Linked DNA regions of Mus musculus. The protein of the gene in region 1 interacts with the protein of each later gene in a pairwise test. Links are inferred from orthologs where the notes say so. Each region holds a gene or a part of one and is shown on either strand. Other genes may lie near its edges.

Region 1 (3,820 bases):
TATGGTATATGTGTGTATATGTGTGTGTGTGTGTGTATATGTAGTGCCTGCATCTGTAGCACACAGGTAGAGGTCAGAGGGCAACTTGAGAGTTGGTTCTCTCCTTCCATTCTGTGAGTCCTGCAGATTAAACTCAGGCCAGCAGACTTGGCGGTAAGCACCTTTATCCAACGAGCCATCTGGCCAGCCCTGGATCCGTTTATCTGTATTAACTGCAAAGCCTTGCAAGGTTTCTGACAAAGCTGCTGTAAGCCAATGCATCACGCTTAGAGAGAAGGCGTGTTTGCTGCTCTGAGCCTCGTGGACTTCTCTGTTTGTCACTCTGCTTTTATTCCTGGCTTTCTTTATTTTATTTTTGTTTTGTCAACATTTTACAGTTTTCAGCATAAAAATTTAGTACACGTTCGTTGGATTTATAATTATCCCATTATTTTCAAATGGTTGTATGTAACTGTCTGTTTTTAAAAGATACACTTTATTTTGTGTGTATGAGTGTTTTGCCTTCAGGTATCTGTGAGCACCTCATGCATGCAGTACACCCCGAGGCCAGAAGAGGGCACCAGATACCCTGCAACTTGAGTTAAGGGCAGTTGTGAGCCCTGTGAGCCATGTGGGTGCTGTAAAGGCTTGATCACTTTCTCTTAGCTTCCCAAAATCTGGAGTTACAAGTGTGCAGCGCCACACCCTGGCTAGTTCCAGAACTTGTATTCTTTGTATATTAATATATAGTATGTATTATACTGAGTTTTTCTTATATGTTTTTTTTTATTATTTTGGGTAGAGTTTTTAATTTTTTTCATTTAAGTATGTTCATTTCCTAATTATTAACTGAAAGATTTTTATAATAATTACTTTAAAATCCTTTCTAGAGGGCCAAGTGTGATGGCGTACCCCTTTAATCCCAGCAGTCAGGAGGCAGAATCAGGCAGCTCACCATGAGTTCGAGGCCAGCCTGGTCTATATTTCGAGTTCCAGGACAGCCAGGGCTATACAGAGCAACCCTGTCTTGAAAAAGTTCTTTCCCGAGCTGAGTGTGGTGGTGCGCACCTTTAGACTCAGTTCTCAGAAGGCAGAAGCATGTGGATTTTTATGAGTTTGAGGTCAGCCTTGCCTACATAGAAAGTTCTAAAGAACTAGTAGACTGTGGCAGGAAAAAAAATCTTTTCCGTAAGAGACGCTATCTCAAGGGAATAAGGTGTGGGAGTAGAGGGAGTGAGAGATTGGGCGAGCACACCCAGTGTCCTCTTTTGGCCTCTGCATGCATGCATGGGCGTGTATACCTTCTATACATGTACATTTGCCCCTGCACCATACATTGCACAACATATATACACCAGAGCCCAATACACAAGTCCTTTCTAGATAATTCTAGCATCTTTCACCCTAGGTGCTGGGTTGGAACCTAGCCTTTCTTGCATGCCTAGCAAGCTCCGCCCAATGAGCTGCACTCCAGCCCACATCTGACATCTCTACAGTCTCAGTGTGGGCCTTCTTCTGTGTCATTTTGTTTGCGATCTTGGCTGTTCGTGCTAAAAGTGATTATTGGTCAAAACCCTGACATTTTAAACATGGAGAGACTCGGATCTTGCCAGGTGGAGTCCAGATTCTCAGCCCACAGCGGGGGCCGGGCTCCAGCTCAGGAGTTTAGATTTTCTCTGAGTCTCCTTAGAGCACTTTGTTGGGAAGAGAGGACTGCCCATTACTGCTCGACTTCCACTGACAGGTGCATGGTGTCCGGCCAGCTGACCCACCCCCACAAGGCCTTTAGTGGTTCTTAGGGGTGGGGAGGGCAGATTGCCTCTGCTCGGCAGTGATGGACTCTGTGGCTCACTCCTCGGTCTGCTGCATGGTAGAGTGAGTGCCTTGTTATCTGGTCTACACCAGATCCTCCACGTGCATCCTTTTCTGGCTGTACTCTAGGGGGTCAGGGGAGGCTTGCTGTAGCTGTTGTAGTTGTAGTTGAGGCTGTTGTAGCGCATGCTGGTTAGGGCTTCCACCTCTGACCTTTGGGGATGGGAATAGGGTGTTCCTGCAGTGGGCTCTTAGTGTTTGTGTAGAGTAGAGGAGTTATTGGCTCTTTGGGCAGAGAGAGCAAACTTTCCCTGGTCCCTCCCCCTTTTCTATCTGTACTCATTGGGATTTCTGAGTTACCAGTGTCTCCACTAACCAATTTAGGATACGCCATTGCACACCTGTGGAGGTCAGGTGCCACCCATGTATGTATGTATGTATACATGTATGTATATATGTATGCATGTATGTATCATCACATCATCTCTCGTCTCCCCTTCCCTCCCCCAGCACCCCTGCTCACTTAAGTATGTTGATTTCATTATTGCTAACAAAGGACAGTTTTTAGAACTCAACTCATCCCTTCTACAATGTGAGTTTCAGGGGACACAGCATGTCATCAGGCTAGGTGACAAGTGCCTTTACCCACTGAGCCAACTCACCAGCCCCTCCCTCAAAACTGTGTTTCTCATGGGACTTTGTCTCCTTCCAGGTCTACGGCTATGGTCCATACAGCGGCGCATACCCCGCAGGAACTCAAGTTGTCTATGCCGCCAACGGGCAGGCATATGCAGTGCCATACCAGTACCCGTATGCAGGTAATGCACGCTGGCTGCCGCTCCCGGTCTCTGCGTACAGCGGGGCGAGGAGGAGGAGGCCTCCTTTCCAGTTGGAAGTTAAATGAGCTGCACGCTCTCACTGGAGACCCCAAATCACTTTGCCGCTCTGAGCTTTGTGTATTTTTCTTCAAATAGTCTTTTGGGTTTTCACATATCTTTACAGTGCTAGAGTGATTTTTATTTAAAAACGATTACATTTTTATTGATTTTGTGTGCACTTGTTACACATATGTGTGTGGGTACATGTATGTCACAGCCCATGAGGGAAGGCCAGAGGGCAATTCAAGGAAATCAGTTGTCTCCTAACACTGTGTGGGTCCCAGAGTTTGAACTTGGGTTGTCAGATTGGCCCCACTAAATTATCTCTCCAGCCCAGTCTTTGATTATTTAAAGGTTTTAGTAATCTTTATTTAAAATGTAACCAAATATACCTTAGTTGCTTACATTTCCCGTATGTCACTCAATTTAAACATTTTTAAAAAGATTTAGTTTTCCCTGTGTGTACCTGTCTGTAGATGTGTGCACATAAGTGCATGTGCCTGTCGGGGCCAGAATAGGGCATTTGGTGCCTGGAACTGGAGTTATACATGGTTGAGTTGACTTGTGGGTGCTGGGAACTGAAGCAGGGCTCTCTGGAGGAGCAGCAGGTGATCTCACTGCTGAGCCGTCTCTCCAGCCCCCTTGCCAGTCAGTCTGAAACACTAGCAGCTCATGATAAGTAAGGAATAGTGTAATGAAACCACACAACTTAGAAGGCATTCTGGTGGCACAGTACAAATCTACAGTAAGACTAAGGAGCTGGGGAGATGGTTCCGCAGGTGAAGTGCTTGCTGTGTGAGCGTGCGCACCGGAGGTTACACATGCGCACTGAGATGGGATCCAGCGCCATGTAAGAGCCATATAAAAGCCAGGCATGGCAATGTGCACCTGTGTCCCAGCACTGGGGATGTGGAGACAAGAGGTTCCCTGGGGCTCAGTGGCAAAGGGTGCGTCTGCCACACATGGCCTCTCAGATTCTTTCTATAGCTCCCAAAATAATTAGTTGTTGTTTAATGGGACATAGTTATACTTAAAAAGTTATTTGTTATATGAAATTCAAACCAATGGTGTGTCTCTATTCTTATTTACTAAACATGACAATTTTATTTAAATGCTTTATTTTTCTTAAGATTTATTTATTTTACATATAT
Region 2 (3,284 bases), on another chromosome or scaffold:
AGGGCCCCAACTTGATCCACTTGCTTATGGCCATTTTTTGGCAAACAGAGTAGATGCTGGCAAAGGAATGGGAGCAAATGAAAAATCTGCAGGGGAGAAGGAAGCATAAAACCAAATGTGAACAGTGAGCTCTGAGGCCTGGGAGCCAGGGACCTGGCATCTAAACTCGCCCGCACCAAGCTCACCCCCTCGCCCTCAGGCACAGCTTGCTAAACATGAAAATTCACCACCCTTGAAACCTTAATTCTGAAAAATCCCAAAGATTGATAGTGTCTGGTAACCGTGTCTGAGAGTGATTCAGACAGACACGTGGAAGAACAGGAGGCGTGGACCAGCCTCGGCTGGCAGCCCACACATCAGTCACGATGCCACGGCCTCTGAGAACTGGGCTCCGACTAGGCACCAGGGTCTGTGAATCTCACCATGCCTGCCAGGAAGAAGTCGGGTCTGTTGACTTCCTCTCTGTCACCGACTTAACTCCCCACCTACCCACCTCGCTGGTGGATAGGAAAGGGCTCCTATCACTAAAACACGTGGTGGGTGAAGACAGAGAGCCCCAGAGGACCCAGATAGGGCATGGGAGAAAGTTCTGGAGACATGCTCATCTCTGCTGATGTATTAGTTAGTTACCTTCCCACTGCTGTGATGAGACACCATGACCAAAGCAGTTGAAGTTTACTTGGGGCTAATGGTTCCAGAAGGTTGGGGTCCATAATGCAGGGACGGCAGATGAGAGACATGCTGGCTGGAGCTGGAAGCTGGAAGCTCACATCTGGAAACTCCCTCACATCTGGAACAGTGAGCAGGAAACAGAGAGAGTGCTGGAAACCATGGATTTTGAAACCTCGGAGCCTGCTTCCAGCGGCTCTTCCTCCAGCACACCCATATTCCCCAACCCTCCCCAAACAGGTTGGCCAACTGGGGACCAAGAATTCCATTGCTTTCAAACCACCACAGCTGATTGATAGCACTAAGTCTGTTTCTCCAATAGTGAAAGGAATGTAATGACAGCCACCACCTCCAGGGGGCGATAATGCTATAATGTCAACATAGTGTGTTGAGTGTCCTGAAAGAGACAAAAATTCCTTCTTGGAGGTACAAAGGGGAACCTGTAGAGGGCAGCGGGTGTTGGCTGTCATTTGCCATTGCAGAAGGAAGCTTAGCTCTGGGGCATAGACTTTGAAAAAAGATTTAATTTTTAATTATGTCTGTGCCAAGATGTGCATTTTAAACACAGTTGCCCACGAAGGCCAGAGCATCAGATCTTCGTGGAGCTGGAGTTAGAGGAAATCGTGGGCTTCCCAGTGTAGGGGTTGGAGATAAACTCGGCTCCTCTGCAAGAATTCTGAGTGCTCTTAACTGCCGAGCCATCTCTTAACTGCCGAGCCATCTCTGCAGCCCAAGGCACAGATATTTCAACCGGTGCTAGGAAGCGATTTCAGTGGTTAAACTCTTGCATATTTAACCCTCGAGGACCAGAGTTTGCATCCCTAGAAACCCAGGTGATCTGGGCAGATGCCTGCAATTCCAGACTTGGAAGGCGGAGACAGGGGATCCCCACAGCAAAGTGGCTGGCTGGACTAGTGATATGGCCGAGCTCTGGGTTTGATAGAGAGACGCTGCCTCTGTGAATAAGGCAGAGGAGCCATGAAGGATGATTCGGGACCCAACCCTTGGGCTTCCACATGCATGTTTACCCATATGCGCCCCCCCTCACATGCATACAAACACGTGTATACCACACATACATGAAAACAGAGAGAAGGGTTTTTTGTTTTTGTTTTTTTGTTTTTTTCGAGACAGGGTTTCTCTGTGTAGCCTTGGTTGTCCTGGAACTCACTTTGTAGACCAGGCTGGCCTCGAACTCAGAGATCCGCCTGCCTCTGCCTCCCAAGTGCTGGAATTAAAGGCGTGCACCACCACGCCTGGCAAAGGTATTATTTTTACAAAGCTCCTGGGAGCATCCTCCAAGGGGATGCTCGTGGCCCATTGACAACAGGCCATGCACGGTGATGTTGGCCAATGCTTTTCCACTGAGCTCTCCCCCAGGCTCTGTGAGCCAGGTACAACTATTGTTACTCCCATTTGACAGGTAATGGAAACTAAGGCACAAAGAAAATAGTAGAGTCACATTCGAACCCGTACCTTCCATCTCCCTCAGTCCCACGGCCTCCCTCACACAACTTTGCCCTCTCTTCCAGTTTGGCACCGACTGGGCCGTGTACATGACCAAGCCGGATGGCACATTCGTAGTCAGGACGGTCCAGGAGCTGCTGCCGGCCTCGTTTGGACCTGAAGACCTGCAGAAGATTCAGTGAAGGTTGAAGAATAGAATGTCTGCTGAATGTGCAAGCCCTACCTAAGGAACGGCTCTTGGAAGACTTCATAATGATGCTGTCTCTGGCTGGGCCTTGGGGACACTTGCCACATGGGTCCCAAATGGCTGGGCAAGGGTGACCTTGATTCACACACCACAGCCTCCCCTTGAGTGATGGAAGGTGCCACTCACCTAGGCCAAAGCCCACATCCTCTTGGGGACTCAGAGCACTCCTCTCCTTCCACTCCCAAAGACACGGGTATTCCAGACCCGGTCTGCCTCCCTACCAGCCTTCTTAGGCTCTGTCGTGTGACTTTTCAGATTATAAATGCCACAGCACGTGCTGTTTGAGAAGAACGTGTTTTTGTTCTTAGTCTGTGTATACAGTTCTCAGGGGTGGTTTGTCTCACGGGGCAGGCAGTCTTAGTTGCTTTCTTCTGGCAGAGGATGTGGGAGCTTCCCAGGTTGCCTCTCTAAGTGGCGTCTGAGAGCCGAAGCTCCTTGCCTCTGCGTTCTTGGACCGGAGGCCCTTAGGCAGGGTTTGATTACAAGAGCCCATTCACTATAGCTTGGACATGGGATGTGCCTCCAAGGTCCACGGACTGGACCGAGTGGGAGGAAGCTAGGTCACTGGGGATGTGTCCCTGAAGGATATGGAGGCTTCCAGGCTGTACCTCCTCTTCATCACTTCCCAGCTATGAGGTGAGCTGGTCGTGACCACACACTCACACAGAGATGTGCGCTTAGACCGCCAGAGAGGCTCAAAGTTAATGGTGCCTCAGACCAGACCCTCCAAGACCACGAGCCCAGGTAAACCTTTCCTCTTGAGCTGGTTCTCACGGGTCTTTGTTACAGGACAGAAAGCTGACTGGCACACCATTGCTAGAGAGTAGTTTGGGCCCAGTAGAGACCTGAGTCCTGGCACCACCCCCTGCCACAGTGTAATGGGAAGGAAGTGTGGGCAAGG

What was found.
Region 2: the proteins of Plekhb2 (region 1) and Cda interact in binary tests that used the Homo sapiens proteins (3 or more experiments, as listed by UniProt). The two-hybrid records come from large-scale screens. The link is inferred for Mus musculus from reciprocal best matches to the Homo sapiens genes PLEKHB2 and CDA.

Annotation. Positions count from the first base shown.
Region 1 is NC_000067.6:34,866,797-34,870,616, forward strand, and holds part of Plekhb2 (pleckstrin homology domain-containing family B member 2), read left to right. Parts: intron 1-2,503; coding exon 2,504-2,609; coding exon of another isoform or gene 2,610-2,695; exon of another isoform or gene 2,696-3,820. UniProt on the Homo sapiens protein: Involved in retrograde transport of recycling endosomes.
Region 2 is NC_000070.6:138,337,918-138,341,201, reverse strand, and holds the end of Cda (cytidine deaminase), read left to right. Parts: intron 1-2,201; coding exon 2,202-2,318; 3' UTR 2,319-2,674; downstream 2,675-3,284. UniProt on the Homo sapiens protein: This enzyme scavenges exogenous and endogenous cytidine and 2'-deoxycytidine for UMP synthesis.